Styela clava: one gene and its partner. The protein of the gene in region 1 binds, or shares a complex with, the protein of each later gene. Links are inferred from orthologs where the notes say so. Each region holds a gene or a part of one and is shown on either strand. Other genes may lie near its edges. The genes, in order: DNA polymerase delta subunit 2-like and DNA polymerase delta catalytic subunit-like.

Evidence for each region.
Region 2: DNA polymerase delta subunit 2-like (region 1) and DNA polymerase delta catalytic subunit-like share a complex: the UniProt entries of both Homo sapiens proteins name them as parts of the tetrameric DNA polymerase delta complex. The link is inferred for Styela clava from reciprocal best matches to the Homo sapiens genes POLD2 and POLD1.

What each region holds. Positions count from the first base shown.
Region 1 is NC_135259.1:14,440,952-14,457,145, reverse strand, and holds DNA polymerase delta subunit 2-like, read left to right. Parts: upstream 1-5,931; 5' UTR 5,932-5,933; coding exon 5,934-6,248; intron 6,249-6,770; coding exon 6,771-7,021; intron 7,022-7,411; coding exon 7,412-7,560; intron 7,561-7,625; coding exon 7,626-7,781; intron 7,782-8,500; coding exon 8,501-9,015; 3' UTR 9,016-9,462; downstream 9,463-16,194. Other genes in the region: ketosamine-3-kinase-like, read left to right, coding at 571-1,491; cell division control protein 45 homolog, read left to right, coding at 2,112-3,824; L-fucose kinase-like, read right to left, coding at 11,038-11,118, 11,768-11,991, 12,806-12,905, 13,432-13,520, 14,344-14,415, 15,315-15,440, 15,945-16,024. UniProt on the Homo sapiens protein: Accessory component of both the DNA polymerase delta complex and the DNA polymerase zeta complex.
Region 2 is NC_135250.1:14,614,523-14,630,052, forward strand, and holds DNA polymerase delta catalytic subunit-like, read right to left. Parts: upstream 7,645-15,530; 5' UTR 7,326-7,644; coding exon 4,167-7,325; 3' UTR 3,815-4,166; downstream 1-3,814. UniProt on the Homo sapiens protein: As the catalytic component of the trimeric (Pol-delta3 complex) and tetrameric DNA polymerase delta complexes (Pol-delta4 complex), plays a crucial role in high fidelity genome replication, including in lagging strand synthesis, and repair.

The DNA of each region.
Region 1 (16,194 bases):
ACGGTCTAATAAAATTGAAACCCCAATGAACTACGGAAAAAATGATAAAAAAATCCAAGTCCTGAAATAGTGCCTGATACGTGCCTACTTATAAACTGTTTGTTTATTACACACACAAATTATGGGGATAAATAAACCTAAGATGATACCTATACTACGTGTCACTGCTGTATTTCTGCATTCAGGCATTTGTTGCATGCTACACACACAAATTATGGGGATAAATAAACCTAAGATGATACCTATACTGTGTGTCACTGCTGTATTTCTGCATTCAGGCATTTGTTGCATGCTTTATTTGCCTTTTTCTTCAGTTCTCCTACAGTCCTGGGGCCCAGAAGCTTGAATTTATATCAAGATCTCAGAGAAATTTAAGAATATCTTTTGTTCATGTATTATCATATTGCAGTATTGTTCAAAGCGTTATCTAAAAATCTGAATTTAACCTTACCTTGGTACAATGGTATAGACAAGTTTAAATTTAGTTATTTCATGTTCCTTATTATTTCTAAAGTTTAAATGTGCAAATAATATGTTTAGGCCTAGAGTGGATTGATTTCGACTTTCAAAATGGAGAGTTTGCTCAAAGCTGAGTTGAATTATTCGTTTGTAAAAAGCACAGGACAGGGTGGAGGGGGATGCATTAGTAGTGGAAACGTCTATGATACAGATAAAGGGAAAATATTTGTGAAAGATAATGCGAAGTCTGGAGCAAAACTTATGTTTGATGGAGAGTATGCTGGACTGAAAGCCATTGCGGAAACAAATACTATCCGTGTTCCAAAGCCATTCAAAGTGATAAAAAGGTCACATGGTGCAATTTTAGTCATGGAATATTTAAATATGCATTCTTTGCATGGTCATGCAAAGGAACTGGGAAGAAAAATGGCAGAATTGCATCTTAGCAATGCAAAAAATGAAAGACTGCAGGAACAAGAAAGTTCCTATGTAGGGAAATTATCATCAAATTTTGTGACAAAATTTGGCTTTGATACGACAACATGTTGTGGGTATTTGCCTCTGGTGAATGAGTGGTGTAATAATTGGGTAAATTTTTATCTTCAAAATCGTTTGAAACCACAACTTGACATGGTGGAACAGAAATATCACGACAGTGAAGCTAGAAAACTGTGGCCAGATGTTGAACATAATTTCCCTAAGTTATTTCCGAGTTCGCTGGAAATCAAACCTGCTTTATTGCACGGTGACTTGTGGGGTGGAAATACAGCAGAACTTGAAAACGAACCTTGTATTTTTGATCCAGGAGCATTCTATGGCCACTCTGAGTTTGATCTAGCAATTTCTCATATGTTTGGTGGTTTTCCGTCATCATTTTTCAGTGAATATCATTCTTTGATTCCTAAAGCTGAAGGGTTTAATGAACGATTAAAAGCATATCAACTTTTTCATTATTTAAATCATTGGAATCATTTTGGTGGGGGATATCGAGAATCTTCATTATCAATTATGAGAAATCTTGCAAAATTGTAATCTACTATGATTTTAATGTTTTCAAAGTGATTTCTCATTTTAATTTTTTGATGTGATACCAGCTTTATAAGCTAACCTTCATCTTTGAGTTATATTCATAAATCTTGATTAAATTGTTGTGCATGTTTTAATATAGAAATTTTTGCCTTTTGCCATGTCTTTTCTTATTTAACTTTACTGTGATTTCTGTTTAATATTGATTTGGATGGGATGGGATTCTGTGCTACTTAAGTATGCTGAATTGTTTTAAGTTGAGTCGACAATTTCAGTATCACCTTTTTTCCAAATTTATTTAAATGTTGATTATTTTGCCTGTGTATCATCCCATAAAAATAATGTTCTAATATTGATAATTTTAAAACAGATATTTTTTCATCATTTATTTCAGAGTGAAAATCTGAAATTTATGAGATACCTACATTTAGACATAATATTGAGTATATGAATATTGAAATCAATTGTATAAAAAAAAAAAATTTTGTTATGGGAATTTATTACGCCGAGATAAAGTTCATTATTAGTTTAATTTTATTTATTTTCGCTAAATTTTCATTCTCCACTTTCTATGCTTACAATTTCAGAAACTAAGTAGTACTTTCAATAAATATCTACATGTCACAATGTTAATTGCTGATCCTGTGAAAGATTTTTATCGAAAGATTCTCCATGAACGAGTTCTCTTACTTGTAGCCTTGGATGTCGATGCACTCGCTGCATGTAAGATTTTACAGGCATTATTCAAATCTGATCATGTGCAATATACATTGGTACCCGTGGAGAATCAAGTCGACGTGGAGAAAGCATTCAATGACCACAAAGATCAATATAATAATGTTATAATGTTGAATTGTGGAGGAAATATCGATCTGTTGGAAATTCTAGAACCTCCAGACGAAGTTACCATTTATGTCATTGACAGTCATAGACCTGTTGATTTGGTAAATTTTTATTGTGAACGACAAGTGTATTTACTTATAAAGCACGAACATGACGAGCTTGCGGCGATTCCAGACTATGATGATCTTTATAAAGAGGAAGATTCAGATGCAGAGAAAGATTCTGGAGCTGAATCTGATGATCCTACGCAACAGAGTTCCAAGAGGAGAAGGTTCGATGAGGATGTTCTTGAAAAAAGAAGAGAGAGGCGTCACTGGGAGGAAAAAAGAAAGGAAATTTTATTTGAATACGAAGAGTTTTCTTATAATGGTACATCTGTTGCCTTGTTGATGTACGAACTCGCGTGGAAAATGTCTAAAGACAACAATGACACCTTGTGGTGGGGAATCATCGGTGTTACGGACCAATTTCAAAACAAAAAAATTGGGCGTGATAAGTATGTTTCTAGCGTTCTCGAACTTCAAGGTCATATGTCAAGGTTGAATCACAGATTTGAGGACGAAGAAAATTCAACTTCTATCAATTGTATGAAAATAAATTTCGAACATGATCTTGACGTTGCACTTTATCGCCATTGGTCATTATTCGAGAGCCTATGTCACTCACCATCAACTGCAACAGTCTTCAAAGTCTGGACAAATAACGGAATGAAACGATTGCATCAATTTCTAGCAGAAATGGGAATTCCTTTAACACAATGTAAACAAAATTATAACTTCATGGATACAAAGGTCAGAGAAAATTTACCTTCTCTAGTTGAGGAGGCTGCTCAAAAATTTGGCCTCACAAACATAAGATACCAATCATTCTCCGCACAGTTTGGATACAATCATAAAATGTGCGCCAGTGATATGGTTTATTCAGTCAGTGCAATTTTAGAAAATGATGAAACGGAAAATGAAGAAACTTGTAATAATTTCGTTGATGCTTTAGATGCATTGTCAAAAATAAACTCTGAATCACTTATAAAAGGCATCAAGTTAGCAAAAGAGCAACTTGAAGCTATGAAAAATCATGTTAGTTCATTTATTGACATTGGACAGGTAATGAGTTACGGACCTTTCCTTTACTCTTATGTTAAAGAAGGTGGACCGGATGTAAAATACTTTAGCCATCCTATATACTTGAATTACTTCACCCACCATCTTTTGCACTCTTATCTGCGATCTCTCGGAAAAACAAAACGCGATAAGGCAAAAAATTTACCGCTTGTCATGTGCGCACCTTTGAATGCTGAGCAGGGATTATCAATACTAATTGGTGTACCACCACTTGCTGAAGATTCACGCAAAAATCTTTTTGGACGAGCTTTTTTACACTCAGCTGAAAGAACAAACTCACAAACTGCTCATGATTATTTTGATCCTTGTATTATGACTTTAAAAACAGAAGATAGGAGTAAATTTTTAGATGCCCTGATTACTATTATGTCCTAGAATCATAATATTGAATTGTTCTTTCTCACATTTTTATGTTCCATAATCTATATTGTTTCTTATAATATGTTCTGTAGGTCTGTGGTATTTGTTTTACTACCCCTATTTTTTCTATGTATTCAATAGTTTCGTATTAGTATTCACTACCCTATCGAAATCATAAAGTCCGATTCGAATATTGGTGAATGACAAGTATTTTTTGAAAGTCTTGTTTTTATGATTTTCTATATCCTCAATTTGAAAACCCTCAGCAGCAGTCTCTGATGCATACAAAACAAATAACAAATTTGCGGGTCTTAACCCACCCCCTAGTCACATGCCTTGGTGAAAATTATGCTTGAAGTAGAATTTCCTGCTCGTTTCTGACTCTGATGAATGTTCACTAAGGTATGCAAACAAATATTGTTTACTAGCATTGAAATGTTTGCACTATGCTTGCTTGCGTGGTGCTATTTCGATAAAAAAATTTGCAATTATTATGTGAATGTGTTTTGTTCAAATATTTTTTGAAATGGAAGATATTTTGAAGCAAGAACTAGACCTTTCATGGATCCACTTCACAGGAGAGACAGGCAGTGGAGAAATATGCACTGGGAAAGCTTACAACACTAATAAAGGAAAAATATTTGTAAAGCATTATGAACGAAGCACTGCAATGGCAACGTTTGAGGGTGAATGTGCTAGCTTACAAACTATTGAGGATACTAAAATTATAAAAGTTCCCAAATATAAAAAGATTGTTCAATTAGACGATGGAAGTGCATTACTGGCATTAGAGTTTCTTAATATGAAGCCGCTCGAGAAACATGCCAAATTAATGGGACAAAAACTAGCAGAGCTACATCTACTTAATGCCAAAAAAATTGCAAAAATGGAGAAAAATGAATCATACGTTGGAAAGTTGGATGATACCGTTGTTGTACAAAACTTTGGATTTGATACTGTCACTTATAATGGCCATTTGAGACAGAAGAATACTTGGTGTAGCGATTGGTTGTCATTTTTCGTTCAACAGAGATTGAAACCCCATATAGACAAGTTAGAAATAAAATACGGGCATTGTGAAGCTTTATCACTTTGGCCAATTGTTGAAAGAAATATTCCTAAGCTTTTTCCTAAAGGATTAAAAATCACACCATCTCTTTTACATGGTGACCTATGGTATGGAAACGCAGGAGAATTAGAAAAGGAGCCCTGTGTTTTTGATCCTATCGCTTTTTATGGACATTCTGAATATGATTTATCTATGCCTCATGTTTTTGGTGGATTTTCTGAACTCTTTTTTGACGAGTATCATAAGTTTCTACCTAAAGCTCAAGATTTTGATAAGAGAGAGAAATTATATTTATTGTTGTTATATCTTAATCATTGGAATCAACTAGGTCCAGTACATGATGGACGTCAATATCGTGAAAATGCACTGAAATATATGAGATATCTTGCTAATCTGTAAATGTTTCTTGATAAAACTTTGTATGAATCCAAATTCATACTTTTCTTTTGTAATACGCATCCCAATTAAGGCAAATTTTAGCTAATGCTCCACCATTCAACATGGAATTTACTGCTTGAATATATGTTCTGAAACCTGAATTGTCAGGGCTTTGAGGGTGATGGAAACTGATCACGATGATCCGCTTTGAGACACGATTAATCAACTGAGATGTCTGTTCCAAATAGGCCTAAGTTTGACATTGCGACAAGACAGCCAGCTACTGATATATATTCGAGGCTTTAATGTTTTTTTGAAATGATCGAAAAATTTATTGTTTTTCTATTGCCTACTCAATTTTTACACTCTAGGCATAGGGTTTGAATTCCAGAATTTCAACTAGGGTGATTAATCGAGCGTAAAATGCTATCAATAGGCTACTGTGCCCAACAAGTTAAGGTGATAAAATAATTATTTCTGTGTCTATACTGTCTTTAAAATTTAATTTATTCCCAGCAAATTTCAATGTGATGAAATATCAGTAATTCTGGAAGCCAATGTAGCAGTTGTTTTACAAAATTTTCTATATTTTCATGTATTTGTGTAATGCATTTATCTAATATTCAACTGTACTCTTTTGCTTAGTGACAATATACATAACAATAATATTCTTCGCAATGCCACCAACAGAAGATGAAGAAACTGCAATGGACACATCTGAGGATACTGAAAAATTTGTGAGGCCAATATGCCTACGTAAAGACTGCTCTGAGCGTTTTCGAAGACGAAATTTGCCTTGCGAAAAACAGTATGCCAACATGTACTTTGTAAGAAGTAACCTCATGAAGAAGAGACTTGAGATTGCGGCTGAAGCTAAGTGGGGTGACGAGTATCCCGTACGGCAATTAGCAAAAGTGAAACTGAATGAAAAATGCTGTGTTATTGGAATTTTGTTCAAGCATATGGATTTACAACCAAGTATTTTGAAAGAGGTCTGTTTTGATTTTTCTCAAAGCAGCGAGTATTTGCTGATGTATAAAGCAGTGCTGCATAGTCGGAGTTTGAATTTTAGACTTACTGGTAATTATAATAGTCGCAGCCAAAATTTGCAACGACACCCAAAAGCACCAAATTCACTTGGCATTCTTAACATACAATTGGAGAAAGTTTGCACATTTCAAAGTTTTTGTGGTCAAAATTTTTTGGTTTTCTTGGAGCTGCAGTCGAAGAATTTTGTCAACCTGAAGTCCGATTGAGTATGACTCATGATTGGAGTCCGAGTTTAGTATAAAATTTCCCAGAAGTCTTGTATAAAATGCAGATCGAAAATTCCCTTTTCTGGAGTATGTCGTATGTGAATATTATGTTATTACCGTAATAACAACAAATTTTATATCCAAAAATTTACTCATTGTAATGCGTTTATCTGATGACATTCCTATAATATTGTAGGCAGTGTGAAAATTACCTCACTCAACAAAGTAATCAATGTTCTCGTTTTTTACTCGTTACAGGTAAGTGAGGAGCACAATTTACAAGTTCAACCTACTCGAGAAAAATTTGTCTCGGAAAATGATAGTTTAATTCTCGAAGACACTTTGCAAAGAATATCGCTCAGTGGAAACATAGACCCACAAACATCATACACTGGAACAGTCGTGGCATTAGCAGGAATCGAAGATAAAGCAGGACAGTTTCGTGTTGATGATTTTACCTTCGCTGGAATTGGGAAACAAGAACCACCACCAAAGTTAGATGAAGATAGGTATGCTAGATTTGAATAGTTTTGGAGTTGCTTTTACCTTCGAATTTTGTTGCACATTCAAAATTCCTTGTCGTTGTCGCATTACTGAATCTTTTGTTCTTTTTGAGCACAGCCACAGAGGAACAAAAAATATTAAAGTAGTGAGATATAAGGGAATTCGATTTATTTTTGGAATTATTAGGAGTGCTCACTGACACATTTTTCACCTGTCCTTGTTGTCACAATTGGTTCAGCCTCAAAAAACTAATTACTAAATTAATCACAATAAATATATTAAACTTATTCGACCAATTGCAAAATCGATGCATATTCAAAACATCCTACTGACTGGTTTCTATTGAATAGTAAGTATCCTGTAAACTTCATTGTTGTTTTCTACACTTTACCCAGGTTTGTTTTACTACTCTCTGGTCTGGGACTTGGAGCTAAGAATGAAAAACTACTTTCAATACAATTAATGATTGATTATATTATTGGTTTACTTGGAGAACCATCAGATCAGAAATCAAGTTCATCCATTGTTCATGTCATTATTGCAGGTTAGTTCTCACAATGTAAAAGCTAGGGTCTTTCTGGATTATGCTATTCTTTTGCGTCATTCCAGGCAATTCACTCAGTGTTGAGACACAGGATAAAGACTCTCAAAAACGTGCAAAGTATTTAACAATTAAGGAGGAAGCTCAGAGTGTTGCTGCAATGCAAACATTGGATGATTTTCTTGTACAACTCTTACCTCAGATCAGTGTGGATGTCATGAGCGGTGGGTCTTTTTGTTGTCCATCGGATTAAATCGAGTTTTAAAAAAACGCTTTTCAAATTTGGAATTTGCAACCTATTTCTTAGATTCTATGAGTAGGGACTTCTCTTTAGAAATCAATATGGCTCCGAGAAGTCATTACTCATAGAATCTAAAAATAGGTTACAAATTCCAGATTTGAAAGTATTTGATTAGAACCTGTAAATTGATGTCGTTTCGCACAATATATGGCTCCAATTCTGTCAATTCTCATCTCCCCAATAATTCTACATTTTGTTGACATCTTTACTCGTGACAGTGCATTTGCTGATACATAAGAAGCTATTTATTTTTGTATTATTACTGCCAGGGTGAGCTGGTGGGCAAGAGATTTGAACATGATTAATCAAAATTACGATACAGTCAGATTGAACCTTCTAACCACCGTGGCATTGCACCAATCATATTTCTGCTTTCATGTGAATCAGTATAAATATTGTTTACCTATTTTACATCAAGTTGTGTAAAGGGACTGAAACCTATGCGCAGGAGGTATATTCACTTGGCTAACACAGACGGTCCTCGAACTAAAATAAGGAAAATCGTAATAAAATTATGACCTAACCTAACCCGGTACACATACTACGGTCTACGGGAGTACAGAATTTTTTTCATCATATACATGTTATAGTTTCAAATTTTTATCATACGCATACTTTTACTATGATGTACATACTTTTCAGGTGAATATGATCCGACAAACTTTATGTTACCACAGCAACCATTACATAGTTGCATGTTTCCAAAATCAGGATCTTATAGAACAAGCACATTTAAGACTGTCACTAACCCTTATGAGTGTGAGATCGAAGAAGTAAAAATTCTTGGTACATCAGGACAAAACATCAAAAACCTTCAGCAATTTGGAAATGAAAGTGACTCAATGAAACTACTGGAACAGACACTATTAAGTGCACATCTTGCACCAACTGCACCTGATTCACTGGGTTGTTTTCCTTATTATGAAAACGACCCCTTTATCATCCCAGAAGACAATTTTCCACATGTTTATTTCGCAGGGAATCAAGAGACTTACGGTGCAAAAACCATCACTGGTAACGATGGTCAGTCAGTTTTGGCGATAAGTGTGCCGAGCTTTGATAAAACTGAGACAGCAGTTTTACTGAATTTACGTACTTTGACTTGCGAACCAATAACGTTTGGAGATTTTTGGGATTCTTCAGAGCCTGAAAAATGATGTGTGGTCAAACATTTTATCCCTTAATGATGAGCTATTTCCCAAAATTAGCGGTCATTCAAGATACTCATTAGTGCAAAGAATCTCAATAAAAACACATTGACTGTTAATTAATCAGAAAAAAATCTGTTGATGTCAAAGACACAGTATGGAACAAAATTTCCTCACATTAATATGAAGTTAGGCTTGTTTCTTTACGACTCTGAATGCCTCAAACTAGTTTGCAGTATTTGGTGAAGGTACATACCTACAATGACAGGTTGTGATGAAAAGTAATTGTAAACTGATTGAATATTCTCAGAATTCCAGTCCCAGCTGTTACACACTTCTATTCACATTATAGAATCTAGATCAGGTTGTTATCAATATCGTCACTAGTTAACATTTATTTATAAATATACCACATGCTTACTACATTCACTGCCAATACATTTTGAAGACTTATGATCTATAGAAGTTTTAGTGAGGCAATTGAATTGGGGCCCCAGAATGAATTGCTTGGATATGTCGAATAACGACCTGCTTTGCCAACTACCACAAATGACTGGACTAGGGTCATATGATATGAAATCTGGTTTACCAATGTGCTTTTCACTTCTAGCTTGTCTGAGAGATATTTGGAAACTAGCCTTCTACGTGAAGAAAAATAGCAAGGTGCGCATTTATCAGGTATTCTATTTCAAGTAACACACCTTCTACCATTTATTTACCTTTACCATTCATCTAACTTATGAATAATGTTACAACTGTCTGATATTCAAGATTTTAATGGTAAGCAATGGCGATAAGTAACAAGATTTGCAAGTACAGCATTTAGCTGTGAATTGTGGGCTATGAAGACCACGATTGCTCAATTTTAATGATTATATTTATTGACATTGTTTTAAAGCCACATGCTATAGAACAGATGAGGAAAAACTGTATATAACTGTCCCTAATGGCGCCGATTCACAGTTGCTCAGTCTAAGACCTAATCTGTTCATCTCGAAAAAGAGATTCGTGATAGTACTGTTTAAAGCCATCTGCAGGGATGGGATTCAAAAGCGGGTTATCTTTTGTACCGAACCCACCACAATAAGGTTCAGAAAATATGTGTCTCGTTATGTAAACTGCATTAACATAACATGCTTTAGAAAACTAATGCATAACTCTGGATGCCAAATTTCACACTAGTTGTCAGATGCGATGTATATAAATCATTTGCTGTGGTTGTCCGACATTTAAAACAAGATGGCGAACCACCTGGATCTCAACAGTTTTGAAATGTGAAAAATAGTGGGTAATTGGCACATTATATTAACCTCAGAACCAGCTACTACTACAGAGGTCCGAGGTCACATTCAATAAAATTGTGAAACGGTTCATAGACAATTTTAAAGTCCTACTTTGAAATTGCACAAGACAAATTGAAAGAAGTGTTTATTTCATTTGAATCACTGTAATAAAAAAGTAAACAAACAATATAGCTGAATAATAGCAAGAAACAAAATTTGATGCTCATACAAACGATGGCATAAGTTTATAAACGACTGCGGTCATATTGCATAAACTGCATATAACAAGACATTTGATTTTCAAGTTAGTGAAAGCAATTATTATGAGCGTTTTTTTTGCACATGAGTGTCTAGGTTAACAACCTAAGTTAAATTTAGAAATTTGCGATCATGATACACTATTGAAGAAATTTTGGTTTTTAGACTAAAGGTCTAAAGCAGGGCTGTGCAAAGTGCGGCCCAAATGCAGCCTGCAAAGGAAAATTGTGCGGCCCGCGGAGGCAACTGGAGAGCAGTTTAAAAAAAATTATTATTAAAAGATACAAAAGCTAACAATTTAGGCGTTTTAACTTATCATTTCTGCAAGGACCCCTAATGATGACATGAGATCAATAACAAAAAGACATCATTTTGTGCCTGCAACTAATAGAAAGCTGTGTTAAATGTAGGTGCGGCCCGCGGTTTCACCCGGTTATTGATATTTGGCCCGCCTGCGAAAAAGGTTGCACACCCCTGGTCTAAAGGATGATCAGTCATCCACACTTGTGGTAGATATCAAAGCACCAGTCATGTCTACCGTAGCATTATACACAGTCAAATCTTCAGCACCCTGGAAATGAAAAGAATTTAGTATGAATCCTGACAAATGGAGAATTATTTCATAGAGCCAGACAGCAGTTTTATGTTATTTTCATGACTTAATCAACTTTCATGAGATCAGAGCATGCGGATCTTCACATAACCAGCTGGTTTGCAGTCATGTCAAGAGTCATGTGTAGATATATTATAGCTTATAATCGAAAAGTAGAATTCAGTCTTTCAACAGCACTCAATCTTACCTAGTGGTGGGATTCAAAATTTTGGAAAAAGCTGTAGTTTTGTATCGTGCCCACTAATAAAACAGGTTGGCTCATTTCATATAATGTATGTGTGCCACTACATAAGCTGCATTAACATGACACACTTTTCGTAAATTTTATATTAACTTTTGAAATGCCAAATATAACTTGTGTTGTCATCTGTGTGTGCGTAAACCATTTGTTGCATTCCTCTAACATTTGAAACAAAAAACAAGCACGGGTTTAATGCAAACTCCCAGACTCTTACCACTGCTCCCTTTTATTGCAGTCCTAATAAAAGAATATATGCATACGAAATGGTTTCTATTTGCTATTTTCACTACTATAATATTTCAGTTCCGATCGAGTTGAGTAAAATGTGGACTTCGACAAATTTTGCAAAATGTAAGCGGCACTCACCTTTATATTTTTTACTAGATCATAGATAAACTCTTTAGTCTGTGGTTCCTTCAATAAAACACACAGAAAACCTCCACCCCCTGCTCCAGCGAGTGTTTGTCCTAAGGAATAAGGTTGCAGGACTTTCATTATCTCTGTACAAGACGCCGGTTCACAACCTGGCGCCATTATTTTCTTTTGCTTCCAGTATTCATTAATGCATTCACCCACTGCTCCAATGTCACCTATAAAAAAAATAATAGAATTTACATATTTATCCAGAGGTGAGGAAAGCCAATAAGGAGACGACTTGATCATATAGTAAACCATTTCCGTCCAAAGCCGTAGCTGACCAGTGGTTACGTGACCAACCTATGGCGACGGTGAATCCAGCAATCCTCACCAAATAATTATCCCCAAAGATTAGAACCTGAGAACCCGTGCAGGGTAATCAGAGGTGGAGAGTGTATTCATACCATGAACAGTGAGAGAAATGAAAAGCATCATTATATAAGGATACATGTCCAACAGTTACATTAAGTGTCCAAACCTGCACGGTGCAATGTTGCTAGATAATGTTGTGTATATGGCTAAATAGCAACCCACTTTCTCCTAAATTCTTCTCTTTTTTTTTAAATTCCCCCGGCTCGCATTTAATAAGTAAACTAACACAAAATAATTGAATCCCTCAATGTTGACAAAAAAGTCACGTTATGGTCATTTATGTGTATAAAAGTAAGCTTCCACATCGATTTGATTAAATGTGCATGCTATATGAAAAATTTCTATGTCATAAACGGTGTTAAAGTGAAGTGTGAATGACTAGACTTTCGTTATGTTAACGTATTTAAAATTCTGCGTAGAACTGTTTTTAGTTAACAAAAGATGATAACTAAGAAAATCAAAATCAACAATATGTGTCAATATATAAGTTGCAATCAAAAATCAACTAAAAACTAGTAAAGAAGCCATTTTGAAACTTAAATTTCAACATCAAAATTTTTTTGAAAGTTTGTAATATTAATTTGAAGACAAATTTCTGAATAGTATTTTTATTACCTTTTAAAAATGATTCCTCACAATTAAGAGCATTGTTGACAAGATTTTTACAATTCTTGATAATTTTTGGAGTTTTAGTATACCAGTTCCGTAGGACATCCTGAAATAACAATTTGTTGCTTGAGATATTAAAAAAAAAAATTAATCAATTATTTCTTATTTACAACAATCATACCAAAACTTCCTATTAATTTAATCAAAATAGGGATACATAAGTCAGACCTTAAAATTTCGCTGTTATGAAGAATATAATCCTGATATTTATCAATTTTAAAAATCAAGTTCTGTATATGCGTCGTTCTATACCACAATGTAGTTAAATGTAGAACAGTCATGTAGAAATGCCGTAGAAATGCCAAATTATACAAGGAATTTAAATTTTTATCTGGAATGCTGAAGTTGAATATTTTGCTTGTATAGGTTGAAAATTACTCTCACATTTATCTCCCTGTACTCGATAAAGTTCTAATATTCCTTATTGCTATTACAATACTTAATTATGCATACACCATAACTCTCCAAATGTTGAAGTGTGACTTTCTCATAACACTAGCTAAGAATTCAATATGGCATGCATTTCAGACAGGCCTAATTTCCACAACCATTCATACTATTATACCCAATACCTGCAACATGTTTCTAGCAAGTCTTGTTTTTCCAGTATATATCAGTTTTAGTCTTTCTTCAAATTTCCCAAGGAAATCTTTACCGACAGCTGATAAAGTAATTAGCTGTAGTCAATAACTAGTAACCTTAATAAAAAATTTGGGTATAAATATAGCAAGCAAATTACAATATGTACAAATTTTCTATTTGAGTCTTAATGACCAGGAATTTAAAAGTAACAAATTATCTATGATACAGAATGCATTCTCAAATATTAATTTCAAACAAGAAATATGTTATGAATTTGATGGACTCAAGGTATATTGTAGTGCAGATAAACGAAAATAGGTTTTATTTTGAATATGTTCAAATTTTTGTATAGTGTCAGAAGTTGTATGAAGTACCATATATTATTCCCAATCATCAGATGTTAAATGCTTAAAATGAAAAATTGAAAAATAAAAAATGTTCATAAATTAAGAACTTACTATATTAAACAAACCAACTTTTATTGTATTCGAATAGCTGTTTCATTTTGGACTATCTGTGATACTATTTTGTAGTAATAGTTAAATACCATTGGGTCTTGCATCACAATTCCTACTACATAGCTGGGCCAGATTTAAACAATTTAAAAAAATTTTTTTTTTTTTAGAAAAGTAAGAAATACACAAGACAAAATGAGTTTATCAGGTCTATTTTCTTTTACATGTTACAGCAATCAATCATCGAATGCAAAAGATTAGATTATTCAAAATGTTCTTTATTTTAGGAGCAACAACCAATTTCATCTACCATATCACCCCAACTGAACATCGGAATAGCCCTAATGGAAGAAGTCAAATGAAGTTGCGAACCGCTAACTGTCAGGCTTTGTTAAAAAATCGCAGGCTTTTAGAGATAGGGTAAAGTAAACTGAAAACCTATCTCACCAATTGGTTTCATTCCTATTTTCAGAGGAAGTTCATTCTCTGAGAAACATCTCTTGATACCACCTACCATTCCTAAAAAGATGAAGTAATGAAACAATTTATCAATTCGGAGATTTTACGATCAAATTACAGTAGATTGCAGACAATCATAATCCTTTGAGCGCTGCCCCTGACTACAACAATATATCAGTAATCGAACATAATTTGTTCGGGATAGGTGTTTGACTACCAATTCGTTACAGTACCAAAACTTTTTCGCCATAAGAAACAATGGTAAATATTTTCTTCACTTCTTCCTTTAAGGTACTCGTTTTTTAGAAGCATGATCAACGGCACGAAAAAGCACTAAATTACAACAATTTCTTAACACATAATATCCAGGTAACGTTTTGACCCAAATTGATGCTTGTTGAATTGTCGAGAGGCAGCCAAGACGTGCGGTTTTTGGTCGACTACCGAGATATCTATGTATGTTCCTTTCACAGGGTAAACATCTTGGATTTGAACCTTTTCACCCACTATCTCATCCCTCATGTAGTGAATTGGATAGGAGGCTCAGTGGTTTTCAACCTTTTTTCTTTCAGAGCCCATTTTTGTTGCACAAAAAATTGTACTTTGGCCCATTTACTTTCTCATGCAAGGGGAGAAATACAGGAAAAACAAGAAATTGTTTTTACAAAGATAGACACTTTGAGTAATTAAAATGAGAATTACCACCCAGAGCCAAAAAGCAGCAGAATCATTTATTTCGATAAAAGTTTGACTAATTTATCAAAAACCCTGGCAGTGTTTCTGTAGCCCAGAAGTGGGCCATGATCTAATGGCTGAGAACCGGTTGTATAGGCAGAGCCGAATTGTAAGTTTCCAGTCCTCTCAAAAATAGTCGTTCATATTATAACAGTTGCTTGTACAGAGCCTGGTTCAAAGCAAAAACGTTTCATAAAAAAATCGAAAAATATTACAACAAATACCTCCGACTTGATCCTGCCAACCTCCACCTGTTGTCATCAATTGTTCAACCATCAATACTGCATGCATGACACAATCTAAATCAGCAACATGGCCTCCAGAATAAAGCAAAACCGTGATAATTGCACCTGTCAGGTAAGAAATAATAACTACTTATGCTGTGAAGTCTGAGGGAAATTTATTATCCCCTGGTTGATTAACATTCAATGTTGAATTGTCACCCAAATCCAGTTTTAAGAAATATTAGAATCCAGCTTTATGAAAGCTGAATTTTGATAGCAAAAGCTTTGGCATATGCAAACCTTCTTCGTCTGTTGAGATCAATTATGGAATGTAAATAAAATTTTACTTTAATTATCACCATAAGAGATCTGAAATTCTGACTCTGACAAATTCAATTTCTGAGTTTGGCTAACTAGAATTAGAACTCGAAAGGAAATTTAAAATTGATTGGTTCATTAGTTGGGCAGAAAAGTTTTTTTTTCCTAACAACAACAAGATTTTAACAAACTTTCCATAGATCCATTTTGTGTCAAATTATACAATCGAATTTGAAACCAACAATGATAAAATCAAGACAGTAAATTTTCATATTTGTAAAATTGATTGAATAATCTTTCTGCACAATATACCTGCAAGAATACTACTTGTTCCGAGTCCGGATCCTCGAGGTAAGTCTGACCAGGTTTGAATTTCTAGTCCTCCGCCATATCTGATTACATAGAAAAAATTCTATCCATGACGGATTGATTGTTCAATGGACAGTATTTTATTTTGGTGTAGACGGAAGTCGATAAGATGGCTGAATTATATGGTAAACTATAATCTTTCATCTAATTACCATTCCATATCAGGTATGGGAATACTAAAGGAGTTATTCAT
Region 2 (15,530 bases), on another chromosome or scaffold:
AAACGTGGGTAAATTGGAAAATGAATTGCGATGTATATACACCAATCAAACTTTTTTGAACATCACATCAACTTGCGCGCTCTATGGGTTCCTCATAGATAACACTCTAGTAACTACCTTTGCGGCGTCTGCAAAATTTCTGGACATCATTTTGACGACGCCTATTTCTTCCGCCGACGCAGAGCGAACATTCAGCACGCTGAAGCGTATTAAAACGTATCTCAGAAACACAATGAAGCAAGATAGATTAAATTCCTTGGCTGTTTTATCCATTCACAGAGACGTTATTTCTGGTATGCATGACTTTAATCAGCGCGTTATTGAGCATTTTGCTTCCAAGAAACCGCGGCGTGTTGCATATATGTTCAAGCAGTAGAAGTCTAGCAGCATATATATCTATGAGTGAGCGACGCATGTCCTTATCTTTGCATTACCTTTCCTTTCTTCATAGTAACGTTTTAAACCTTATTTTAGGTTTTGTCTGCTTTCCCGAAGTTTCTGTTAATATGTCATTGTATCTTTCCTTTTGAAAAAGGTTTCAAAATAAACTATGTCTATATTTATTAATCCCTTGACTTGGACCGGTTTTAAAGACACTTTCTTATCGTTAAAAATTGTCGCTTTTGCCGATTGGTTGTTACCGATGGAATGGTTTTTATACTCATAAAATGATGGGAGAACTTACAGCGCTCATCCTGTCCCCGTAGATGGGGGTGACTTGGTCCCGCAGTAGCTTGCCCCGGTTGTCAAAATGACCACGCGCCGCCACTGGAGCACGCTATGATTCCCATTTAAATTTGTAATTGTGGATAATAAACTGACTTCGTTAAAATTCTGTTGTTTTTGGTTCTATAGCTTCTTCATGCAGAGTTCGGTTACACAATTAACGCATCTTGAGTCCGCGAAGATTTTCCATGGTGAAAAAATAGTCCGCGGCCAATAAAGGTTGGGAAACGCTGGTCTAATGAAAGTGGCAAACAGATTGGATTGGTGAAAATGGTTTGCAATCGCACTTAATTTTAAACAGATTCTACTTAACCGCACGCGGATCATAAGTATATTTCGACTCCATATTCAGCATAGACGATAAAGTAATTGATAAAACAAACAAAATAATAATAAAAACAAAATAAATAAAACTGATTATAGAATCGGGAAAGCAAACAAAACCTCCAGTATGGTTTGAAACGTACAGATTTCAGATGAAAAGGTATTGATAAAGGAAATAGTACGTAGGCTACGTACGATCATGTCGCGCGTTGATGATCACGTATCGAAAAACACGACTTCTCTGGCTGGTCTTCTGGCTTTGGTCATCATATTTGCATAATTTGACCAGCGGTACCGATCCGACACGCACATATGCAATCAATACATAAAGAAAACATAATTATATCGTTTTAATAAATGTCGCACTTTAGGCATCGACTTCACCAAACTGTCCCCCATCGCTAAATATTTTCCAGGTAGTAACATTGCACACTTAGGATAGGATTTACATATTTATCCCGGGGGAGAGGAAATCCGATAATATGGCTTAATCATATAGCGAACCACGGCCGGTTACCAGTCCAGGTCGGGTATAGGATTAGTTAGCCAGTTATTCGTTTTCGGAAGCATGGACTTGATGGTGGAGGAAGCCATTACCGACCAGCGGTTATGTGAGCTACCCTACGGCGGCGAGGAGTCCAGCAATCCTCTCACACATAATCATCCCCGCATGGGATTCGAACCTGCGAACCCACGCAAATAATCAGAGATGCGGTGGCAAGCGTATTCCTAACGCTTAGAACGATGCGCCACTCCGCCGAGCCGAAAAACCACGATATTCCGTACGTTCGGGTTAGCTTTTGTCAACATTTTACACATTGATAAGTAATTATTGATAAGTAAGTAAGATAAAATCTGACATTTTATATAAGCAAGGCGGTTACTATGTCACAAAAATACCAATATTCTTGGCGATCTGGCAGCTTGAAAACAAGGTTTCATTCTAAGGTTACGCATTTTAGTTTTACCACCAGTTTCGTCGATACATAATAATGGAACAACCAAATTCCACTCCATTTAACTGAGGAATATTATCGCTGTGGCCGATGGAGCTCGGAGCCTAACAATACTTTTGGGCAACTGAACGCAGTGTGGATCTTTCCGGGGTCGAAATTTCACACCTAATATAAATGCGAACATTCTAACATTTTCTAAATAGCTAGAGCATGGCTACTCAACTATTTTCATCAAAGGTCTGTATACAAAATTTAAAAATTACCGGGGTCCGGTCGTTCCAAGAATATTTTTTTAGCTATGGAACAAAATTACAAATGCATAGTTTGACAAAACACAATAGCAAGGCTTAATATCACGCTTCGGTGTCCGTAAGGCTTCAGTTGTGAAGCCGAGCGTGTGAAATATATACATGGAATATTTATAAGCTACAAAAACAAGCTAACGTTCACTGCCATGTCTAAGAATTTGCGAAAAATGTATACAAGAAGTCACTAAAACTTCATGGCAGTAGTTGCGCCGGAATTAATATCTTCTTGATCAATCACAAAAGTGAGTCGATGCTCTGAGAAACTTTTATTACAATGACGGTTTTTCATAGTCGTTTAGCGAAAAATGCATTACATAACGATTGTGAAATAAAAAGAAACAATGCGTTCAAAGTCAAGAAGTAGCTGCGGTCCAAATTTAGCACTCGAAAGGTCTAAGATTCGGACCGCAAGTTGAGTAGTCCTGAGCTAGAGTACCGTATTTCGGTTCTATTTCAAGCCTCATTTGTCCTGGTGCAACAGAGATCATGTATTGCCACTTTGAAGTCCAGTACACGAATTGCTTGTACCAGGAAAAACGTATTTAAATATGGATCTGACCACAAACAAGAACACCAGAATACAAAAATGTCATCATGTCAGGGTTGTTCTTTGTCTGGGACAACAGAGACTATTCACAGTAGAGATGTACCGATACCACTTTTGTCGCCGATGCCGATTCGAAAACAACCGATACTATGTAATTATTACCTCAAGTGTACAGGACAGACGGTTTAAAATAAGAGTCTTTGAGCATTATTTCGGATCAAAAAAGAGAAATATCACACACATATATGTATATATATATGTGTTAAGAAGTAGATGTTTGAGATCGAAATGCGTTTCAGATGCATTGAGCACTGTCGCTGGTAATCTCGATGTTCAATTAAAAAACTAATAGGATTTGACTACCGTTGATGGTAAAATAAATATATGTTTAGCCTACTTATCGTATGAAACTCATACGTTGTGTTACGTGCGCAGGATTTTGTGCCAATATAACGCCGTATTTTATATTTTACACATCGGAACATCCACTAATATTCGATTGATAAATTTTTTTATTATTACCATGTAATATTAAAAATTTTAATCTAAAAATTTGGCAGCGAAATTACTCAAATTGATTTGAGCCAGTTTGGCTGATAAGTGGCTAAAAACAAGTCAAAATCCGATTCCCGTTTCTACTAGCGGGGGTGGGGACGTGCACGGTTCTTAGTTCACCATTCATCCAAACAAAAATAATTTCAAGATCAGTATTCTAACCTATTTTAAAAGAAATCTGGATCATACTGAGAAGCTAAATATATCGTAAATATCGGTCTAAATTTAGCTGATACCGAAAATCTGGCCGATATATCTCTAATTCACAGATGTTCAGATAAAACTTACTATTAACAAAAGGTTCAAAATAGCCCTAGAGCAGCTTTTAACCTTTCACCCAAACCCCCTCCAAGGCGTATTTATCTGTCTAAATTTTACTCCTTAACATGATAAATGGAAATGATATCACAATTTTTTATTTTTCAACAATACACTCATTATAGCAGATATTAATTAAACCTGCTTATGTCAACTGTCTATGAAGACGTAAGCAAACCCCCCAAAAAACAGAAAAAAAACTATTAATGTCATTATTCCCACATTACATCAAATTTTCTATATTACAAGAAATCCGGCAAAACTGACCCAGCGACCAAAGGAATTGTATTAAAGAAAATCAATGTTACACTTTAATATTCAAAAAGTCAGTTTTCCTGTTACATTTAACACGTCAACAATGATATCATGAATCATGATTTACGCAAAAATTGTGTAACATAAATCTTGGAATATATCATGATAAAACAGAATTTACCAATCACCAAATCGCATTACCACTTTTCGTTGAGATTCCAAATTCATTTGAATTTTTTTTCTCATGTAAAATATTGGGCAATCCCTGCTTGTGCACAAAACCTCTTCATGAAGTGAACCTTGACAACGCTGACATTGAGTCCACAGTCTGGAATATTTTTCTTCAAAAGATGACAATTTTAGAATTTCCTTTTGGTAGATCTCAGATTCCCGTTCTTCGCAGTGATCACAAACAGCACCAGAGTGTTTGAGCAACGATTTGCATCCAATGCAAGTCTCTCGCTTTTTGGCAAAAGCCATCAAGCCACCAACTTTTGAGGTAACAACTTTGCGCACACGAGTGTGATCTCCCTTTAACAAAACTGACTCCGCTTTTCCTTCACCCAAAACAGGCTCAAAGATACGAAGGAGGGGTTGAGATAATTGATGTTTCAAGTAATGCTCTGTATCGATAGGGATGTTATTTTCGAGCACATAAATGGGATCTTCTGATTTTAAGTATGCCGCTTGACCCTTGGCACCGCAGATGATAACGTAAGGAACTCTATCACCTAGTTGCGGTGCACTGCCAGCATCTCGTTTACGCATTCGTTCAGCTAGTTCAACATGAGCCTGTTTTGCAGCATATTGTTCTTTTGTTTTTGTCAACTCTTTTGTTATGATTAGCTGAGAAATATCGATTCTATTGCACAACAAATCAGAAATGGTTTGTTTTGCAAATGCAACTGCAGAATCAGGGTCTCTATCTATCAAAAGCTTCTGCAGGCAACTGTTGATCAGATTGGCAGTGAGAGGCGCATTATCCCGACGAACGGTTTCAATACCTTTGCAATCCATTTTATCATGAACTTCAGCACTAGTAGAGAAGTACAATCCTGCATATCTTTTTTTGTTAATCAATAGATATGGAAAATACACCTTTTCAAATTCCAGTTTAATTGGGTAAGGAAACTGATCAGAGACAAATCCAGCAGCTTCACGGCCCAGTTCCATGCTTTCTGCAACAGTTTTTACCCCAAATTTAATCATTACTGAATCTGTGTCTCCATACACAACTGAAGCATTGGCAAAATAACCATTATCAATTGTATATTTCTTCTCAACATGATGTTTTGTCTGATCAATCATCATTCGACCAAAGCCGGTGACACTGCTTGATATCTCTAAACATGGCAACTTTCCAACCTGAGCACCTGTAAAACCATACACCGAATTACAGCTAATTTTCAAGGCTAATTGACGACCATCCAGCACACTTCGTTTAAATGGATCTGTTTCCACTTTCATGTCAGCCTTAGCTTTACGACGGGCTGTGAGCAAACTATCCAAGATTTTTGGGAGCAATCCTTTTCTAACAGATGCTTTCACAAATGTATCACCCGTAGGAGTAGTGATGTAATCTTCTGGCTGCAATTTCTCCTTTTCCTTACTGTTTTTCAACAAAGTGGTGTAGCACAAATTGTGAGCCTGCATAATTGAGGGGTACAACGAGGAGAAATCGAGAGTTGTTATAGGAATATTATAGTAACCTTTAACAGGCTCTATAACAGTGGCACCTGTATACTGCTCGTCACTTCCACTGCTCTCCATTACTGGCATTAACAAATCCTCCACCGATGTCTTTCGCAACAATTGTGACATAACCTTGATACTTTGACCTCTAGTAAGCAGATATGTCATTGGCACCCCAGTCACCCTGGACATTTCAATATAATTAATGATAAGCATCAGTTTATCAAGAAGACGTAAAGGAAGTAAAGCATCCTTTAAGCAATATACAGCTAGTCGTCTTCTTGTTTGTTCATTTCCCTCCTGCAACTCTGTTATGATGGAATGGTGGACATCTTCCTTTTGTTCACCAAGAAAATGAAAACTCACTGCATTTAAACTATAAGAACGCAACTTTTGTTCTCGCAAAAGAGCGACAAATACATCAAACTGCACTCTGCCTTCAATATTGACATGTTTTGTTTCTCTGCTTCCCATTTGCTTTGACTGGAATCTTGTTTCCCTCACTTTTGATTGAACATTTTTTATTCGTCCAAAATAGGCAAACTCCTTTACTTTCAGTGCTTGCGAACGGTTGATCAGGTATGGAAGATCAAAGTTTTCTATGTTATAACCAGTGATGATATCGGGATCAACCTCTTTCAAAAAATTCACCCATGCCAGTAACAGTTCAGATTCTGAGTCAAAGGAAAAAACCTGTGAGCCAACAATAGAAGCACAGCTCTTCAAAGTGAATATTGTTCTAACGAACGGTTCTTTTTCTCCTTCTCGTTTCACCATTGAAGCAATTTGAATGACAGGATCAATTTCAGGCTCTGGGAAAATGCCTTTTCTACCTGCACATTCAATGTCAAAACTCAGCACCCTCAATGGCCCAATTTTTTGCCATTCGCCTTCCGGTTCATGACTGATGAGATCTGTCCATTTTATATCAACTTCAAGTTGAGCCTGTGAAACACAGTTTGATCCAGATCGCACCTTATACTTTCCTGCTGGAATTTCTACCCAATTGCAACCAACCACTTTTGTATCAACCATAAAACGAATTTCAAAATCAATATTGCTCTCAAATGATTGATAATTGTGAGTTGGGTATTTTTTAGTTTTGAAACCTTCTCTCAGAATCCTTCGTGTGGTGGCAACAAGTCGTGGAACTGCAACTGTGACTTTGAGAAATGGGACTTTTCCCAGGCTGTTATAACCATACATATTTTGCTTCATGCAGTATTCAACTTTTGCTACAGCCACTTTGACTTCTTTATTTCCTTTCATGTCACGTAAAACAACATCGTTGAGACATTCACAGAATTCGTCACAGTCATTTGGGTTGAAACCTTTCATGGCTTGAATATAAAAATATGGCAGAAACCCATGTACATGACATAATACAGAGTGTTCATTTTCAGTTATGCCGTACATGCGAACCACTGGAGCACATCCATATGGAATATCATATATACCCGCCACAGGCTCTTGGGACAAATATGTATCTAAGTCCAATTGTTGAATTTGTATGTTGTAAGTGTTTGGATCTATTGTTGGTAATGTTGGTCTTCCCCAGTTGTTCTGTGTGGCAATGTCTGACATCTTGATCTTTTTGCCATTGGAGGTAGAGCTACCATCATTGTTTGGCTTTCTCTTATCCATAACTGTGTAAAAATTAAATTACCTTTAGAATAATTTTGTCATTCTACAAACAAAGTGGCAAGTTTAAACCCATAAAATACATATATTTAAAAAGCTGAAGACTAACACGAGAATAAAAGCATATACCATAATTTATAATTATAACAAGACATTCTGACATTGAAAAACAGTTTGAGAGGCTCCACCGATACAGAAAAAGAGTAAAATTTTAGATTTTGTTATTAAAATTTTCAAGTACATAGTAACTTTCAGACAAGACATTTCAACAATCGAGCGTTGTAGGTGAATTCTGGCGCGATTCACGATCGATTTCGAGAGGCGCGAGTTCCGTGTCCAAGCAAAGTGGTACTGGATATTCAAATAGTAAAATGCCATTCGAATAATTTAATATTCGATTCGCTATACGAATATTTTGCCCAGTCCTAATTACATATTATTATGGCAATACCTTGATAATATTTTAGAACAGAAGGAATCAAAATAAATTCTACTTGATTGAGTAACTCTCTGGGTTGGATTATAAAGTCAGGATTCCAAGATTTGATTCTATGGACTGATGGACACTGTTGTTCCTCAATATCGGTAATAATACAGTATAATGGAGTTGCGCAAAATACTATAGAAAAGCGCAATCTAATAACGTCATCATTGAATTCCTTGGGAAAAAATAATCCGATTTACCAAAGAAAAATTTTTTTTACTGTGGCATTTGAGAGTTCTTAGCAAAAAACGGCAATTTTGGGGACGTGACAGCCGCGATTAATTTAGATTATTATTAAGACAATCATGGCGCGATATGAAGCATCTGACGTGGTCCCAGACGCCCCTCGTTTGTGAGACACATAGAGTGTTTGTTTTATTGAGCCAAATGGAGGGGAATTCTTGGAATTTGGATAGCGTGCTGTACTGGATTTAGGGGAATTAAATCATGATACATCTTTACATCAATATACGTTATACATATATCAGTATTTACAGTACCCTTATCGTATCCCTACAGTACTATCAGACTGTACTAACATACGGTACACATATATCTGTATATACAGATATAATTGAAAAACATTACATATTAAGCTTTTTACTGTTTTACCGTATGTTTCGTGCTGTTTCCTGTCTGCCTGTCGTTACAGGGGTGGTGACTCTTCTAAGGCCCATGGGCCGGGGCCACGGCCCATCTAATTGGGCCACATGGGCCCTGGCCCATCAAGCTATGGGCCGCGCCCATCAGAAAAAAATCCATTATCTCACCAAAATTTTCAATTTTTATAAAATTGTCAATATTCAAACCAAAAAAAATCGTGGGATGCCACCAAACCTTTTCTTACGATAAGCCTTTACATAAAAATAAAGCAAAATACCAAGCTACAGAAAAAGATACACCTGAAGTATGTGTACCAGGTTAGGGTTAGGACAAAATTTTGTTCAGATTTTTCACAATGTAGTTCTATTATAAGTTCGGGGAGTGGGTAGGATTTACATATTTAGGGTCTAGTATAATTTAGTACGACAAGTACTTCCGGTGGGCGTAGCATAACGAATTTTGCATATGCTATTCCTAACCCCCACCTGACTATGCCATCCAAAAATTACGTCACTACGACGTCACCATCACGCCATGGGGATTGCCAAAGTATAATTACGATCGCCCGAAATGACATCTGCGCCGCTGATAACGAACTTGCTAAAGCCGGCGATCTCTCTCCTATAGTGATCGTTGTGACGAGAAAACGAGAGAAATTGCTTGCTCGATTTCGGGTGATCGTCTGTGCGTTTTGGACGAGCATCCGCATACTTCGGTGGGCCTTATTACGCCACTGTGACGTCGAAATGATGTAATTTTTCGGTGACGTGGTCAGGTGGGGGTTAGGATTGACATATGCAAAAATTGTTGAGCCAGGTCAACTAGAAGTACATGTGGTACTAAACTATACCAGACCCCATATTTATTAGTCTTTATTATTTTGTCCCTTTACACAACTTGATGGGCCGAGGCCCATTTCGATGGGCCGTGGTTCCGGCCCATGGGCCGTAGAAGAGTCACCACTTCCACTCGCCTTTGCACTGTTCCCAGGACAGCAGGAACGTATTCTTCTGCTTCGTGCAGTTTGCTGCGTTTGGCGGTACCGGTACATTACGCAGGTACAGTAGTAAGGCCCCGGTTGAAAGATACGTTACTGGTACGTAACGATATCAGATATAGCACATGCAATGACTGAATGAAAAACTGCGTTCGCTTCTTTCCCCAGTGCCAAAGTGTTATAGTCACTTTGCCCAGTGCCAGATCCAGAATGCTGTAATACAAATTCCAAGGATTTCCCGCCTTTGCCAGAAAAATTTCACCCGAACGTTTGAAGAATTGTACCGAATGTCATATCAAAGATATATAAGTATGGTATACCTTTCCCCGAGCATCGTTTTCCTTGTTTACTTCGTGACATTGGCTAATCAGCAAGATGCAAAAAGTGACGTAACAATGCCCCCTTTTCGCATCCGCTCAGACACTTTTCTCACTCAGACAGATTTTCAAGTGTGGTTGTAAACATTACCTCGTTTTCGCGTTTTTGAACTCTATTCGTTAATTTTCAGTTGTGTCTCGGAAACTTAAATATAAATCAAATAATTCAATGATCACTCTGTCTTCCTAGGAGTTTTAATTTGATTGCACTAATAAAAATTAGTGTAGAAATAGCTGTGATAGACTAGCCTGAAATTTTTTACCGGTACTTTTAAAAAAAAGATTGTTGTATGCCATGAATCATAATGATGGTTTGTAACACATACCCCATTTTACAGGCGCCAACTCGCAAAAGCACTCTTAAAATAGCCCCGAAAATTTTGCAATGGTAAAGTATAGGAAGAATTGGCATTGGCATTGAAGACACTGGGGGCGATGTGACACTGTCGATCAGTCTTCTGGATGTGGCCTGTTAGCGTGTGCTGTGGTTGGCAGGGTGCAGTTGTCTGAGTGTGGCTGGATTTTGGGTGTTTTGTGTCTGTGGAAGTGCCTCTGATATCCGGTGGGTTATCGGGGATGTTTGTTTGTGGTTTTGTGACTGTTGGATTAGGGTTGGTTGGATGTTTTTGTGCTGGACGGAGAGCTAATGTTGGGACCCTGTTGCTGTTTGCGTGTAGTGCCATTGCAGTTCATTTAGTGTTGTTGTTTCATTTTTGTCATGGTATTAGCTATCATCTGTACTGTTCAAATGTTGTGCACACATAGAATTGTATATAGTCTTTTAAAATGCCTGTCATAAGTTATTTTCAGCCTATTTTGCAAATTGTAAGTAGCTAGTTTAGTGTTTTTATGGTGTATATTGCTTTCTTACATTTTACTGCCTGGTATTGTTGTTTTTGATGTGTGCTTTCCGTTTCTTTGGGGTGTTTGGTTGTATTAACCGTTTCATTGGAGGATAATTAATAAATAGAACAAAATAACATAAATTGAAGTGAAACAAAATTTTAATTCGTAAATTAAGTCATTATGAAATTCGCGGTGTTGTAAACAAGTTGTTTGCTAGCTATTTGGAAAATAGAAGTCAATTTGTGAACATATCTGGTACTGAATCACTGAAAGCAAATGTGACTGTAGGAGTTCCCCAGGGATCTGTACTCGGCCCGACCCTTTTTTTGCTCCATATCAATGATATTGTCCATGCCACTAATGCTTCGATCAAACTTTTTGCGGATGACACCAGTTCCACCTCTGCTACAAGGAATCTGTCCGACTTGGAACTAAAAGTTAATGTTGAACTTCATAATATTTCTGATTGGCTCACTCACAACAAACTCACCGTTAATCCCAACAAGACGCAAGTCTTACTAATTAATTGTTTCAAAAAGCTTAAAAATTCCAATTACAACCCTAAGTTCACTCTAAACGATTTTGAATTGACTAACCATGATTGTGTAAAATACCTTGGAGTCATCCTGGATAAAAAACTTGATTGGCAAGCACATATCAACCAACTAGCTGGTCGGCTTTCAAGGGCAATTGGGGCCATGACTAAATTAAAAAAATTTGTACCAAAAAAAGTTTTAAAAACTGTGTATTTTTCACTCTTCTATTCCCATTTACAATATGGAATTGTGGCATGGGGCTCTGCTTGTAAAACTTATCTCAATAGGATTTGTGTACTTCAAAATCGTGCCCTAAGATTAATGAGTGGCGCACGTATGCGTGAAAGCTTAGATCCTATATACAGACAGATGAGTATTCTCAAACTTGCGGATGTATATAAATTTGAAGTTGCGAAATTTATGTTTCGATCTAAATGGGGTATTTTGCCGGATGCATTTGAAAACTACTTCACAAACTCTAGTGATATCCATGGACATAATACTCGGTCGGCTGGTAGAGGAGCCTATTTTGTTAATAGAACAAGCTCAAATTTGGCTCAGAGATCCATAAAATTCACTGGTCCATGTATTTGGAACAGTATTCCTGACAATATCAAAGAATCATCATACAATAGTTTTAAGTATAAATATATGAAACATCTCATCGATAAATATTAATATCAGACATTTATTAATAACTGCGTCATAAAGTTCCCCAAAAGTTAATACCCTAATCATCCAACCAACCGCTTGTATGCTGTCCCACACACCGTTGGATTTGATTGGTTGATCTTGGACTTATATGGTAGGGAGTTTATATAACTGTTTTTATTGATTACCATGTCTTTTTGGTATTAAATCCTGTAATTTACATGTGCTTGCATAACTATTTGTTTTTTCATTTTATTTTCTTTAACTATTGGCAAAACATGATGTAGTATTACCTACAACTGATAATTACCTATAGCTTGCATTTGTTAAAATGGCCATAAAGCTCTAACCTTGAAATGTAAACATTTCAATGAACAGTGTTCATCATAATTGTAATCATAATTGTATACTGTGTGCAATCCTGAATTTATGTGATTAGGAATACTATGTATCTGCTTATACTGTTTGTGTTAACATTGCATATTCTATAATTAAGTTTCCTGAAAGTCATTTTCAATAATAACAATTTCACCCCCATTTTGTGCATTCACATTTTTTGACCAAGGTTAAACTATTTATTCATGACCCTACTTTTTACACCGTGTACAGTATAACATCTAGATCAACTTATTTTTCACTATACATTATTTCAAGATCCAGGAACAAATATATTTACTATTGTTCTTGTGTTTGGTCTGCTTCTCCCAATCTTTACAAACCATTAGTAGAATTATATCTGAGCTATACATGTATATATCTATATCTTTACCGTATTCACTTTACTTCTGCCAAAAATAGGATGATTCTGCAACGTGGTCAACTGAAATCATATGCTTTGTGTACTATTTCCTATAGTGTGCATTTGTCATGATATCACTATGTCCTAACCTTAAATTTAATCTATGAATCAATGCATTTTGTTCATATATATTCATATTATAATTACAATTACACTGTGTGCAACCCCAAACACCATGCTTTTAATATATCATATTCTGAAATGCTGTTTTATTCGATCATCATCCATTAATCTATTTGATTGGTAATGTGTCTGCATATGCTGCTAGTATTGACACTGCGTATTTCAAAACTTTTTGTAGGACTGAGCCAATAGTAACAGGAGCAGTTCTAACATCCCTATGATTAATCGTAACCTTGGATCAATAGTCAATACCTTAAACTATTGATGACTTCAGCATCTGTATGCCCTGCAATGTGTAGTACCGACTTTAATATATTATTTACTATGCCAAGACTTAAATACGATGCTTACTTTAATTATTTTTGTTTTCCTATAGACTTATATGTTTACAATCTTTTGTAAAATTATCTTAAATGTTTATTGACTGTTGTACTGTTTCTCTTTAAAATTGCATTTCTATAAATGAGATTTATTCGAAAAGTTTACTCCAAAATTATTCAATCAGATTTTATACATCATTCGATTATTGCATTGCTTGCATAGCTACATTATTATATTTACATGTTGAAAATAACAAGATTGAAATCTTCTTGAATGTCCAATTTTCTCTAAAATGACCTAGCCATACTCTGTCTAGGATTGATATTTGCAATATCAAATGTTTCATTAGATTTTTAATTTATTTTTATTTATTTATTTTTACTCCATGAGGCTGTCCAAAATCGAATAATTGTTTGATTCGAATCGTATAATTTGTCGAAACGAATATCCTCCAAAAATCCTATTTCGATATTGTAATAACGTATTATGCTGTTACATTTAAAATGATACTGATGATATTTTGTATAACTATGTTTCCAGAGTTATCAATGGAGTATGGAAATCACATGCCTCCCTAAAATATGAGTGTTGAAAGTTGAAAATTACAGAGACTCCCAATACCTTATTTACTCAATTCTTATATATTCAGTTTCAATAGGGCATGTGTGGCCTGTATATACTCTTTTAACCCTGTTATCACTAGTCTGAATTTGTGCAATTTTTTAATAAACATTAATATAAATAAAACTGTTGCCCAAAAATTTCAAAAATGTAGCTAGTTTGATGATGATAATATCCCTAGATGAACCTATTGTTACTGTACCAGCCATCAGAATGCAAGAGTGCAGTTATTTGTCTTGTTAATAGATGGTTAATACTAAGTATTGCCATCATAAAACCTCCACAATGTGTGCTTCCCGATTACTGACTTGAAATGTTCGAATTGATTTGCATTGATGGAACTATCGTTTTTCTATGGATACTAAATTGCTCTTTTTCCCTTATGTACTCTCTCTAAACATATACTGCCAATAATAACTTGTCAGTCATGACTACGCATGATATATACCCTCGGCATTAGGAGAGACACCCTTTTTCATCGCAATATGAAGGCTAGAGAAATATCGGGTCGTGAGGATATTTCCGCTTTATGTAGATAATATTGGCCGAAAACAATTCGAATCGTTTTTGATCCGATTTCGAATATTCAGTTCGCTGGACATCACGAACTCCATGTAATTAGGTACATTTTTTAGTATGCCTTCCGAAATCTAATTCATTTCTTTCTCTCTGTGTACCCTTCATCCTTACTAGATTAGGAATAAATGCCAACAGATACACTCTGGATTGAAATAAAGGGCATTTATTTATTTATTAATAGTGATTATTTGTTCAGCAAACTGTAAGGTACTATTTATAAAGAATGATATAATAAGCAATTTCATTATAAGCACTATGAATATAATATTGTAATCAAATAGTCACATTATCAAGTTTTCCATCTTTGTATCATATTGTTCTTGCCGTTGCATGTCTTAATAGTGAAAATTTTCTGCCATTTGTCGCACCAAGTTTTTCTGTATGTATATTTCAAACAAAGTGATTTGTACATGTTGTCATTTGAAGCCCAATTGAATTTAATGTATCTTGGCAAAGTATGAAATCATCCGAGACTGGACTGGAGAATTTGCTTCATGATAAATTTTCAAGGTCCTCGATCTTCCCCTAATCATACATGTATTAACTGTTACCGGTATATCACTCCAATTATCGCTTATTTCAAGCCTCAGGCAGTTACCGTATCCACTGGTATGTTCTGGCTTCTATCTTTCAGTAGAAATTTTTGATGTGACGAACAATATTCAACCAGCTTAATACATAAGTATTGTATTTATTAGATAGTCTCCTACATTGCATGCAAAACAAAAAAATGTTATGAAATGGACCTACTAGGAGTCAAACCCCAGACCTAAAAGCTGAAAATGCCATTGATCAAACCATCTTATAGCCTAATCTCAAAAATATTCTGTAAGAGTTCTGGTCAACTCTCCAATGAGTATCTTTTTTATTTTATTTCTTATTTATATACATTTAACTGTGAATCCTAATAGTGAACTTGGGGGGAGCTGACTCCGATGACCTTATGGTCGTATCGCTCCCCCCAGTCTATACCGAATTAACTTTGTGTATATTGTATATATTATTTTGTATACCATTGTTCGTTTACGGTTGACAAAACAATAAATCTCTCTCTCTCTCTCTATTGAGAGGAAACATGACGTCAGACCAAATTGGAAGATATTCTGGATAATTACTTCATAGACTTGGATAATTATTTCATGGACTGCCGGTACGCTACACATATTAAGAAACAACACTACCCTACACTTTTGTTGAGAAAAAATTATTATTTTAGTAAATATTGATCAATTGGTTGTTCATCTTCAAAACGCTAGTTGAAAGACCTGTGT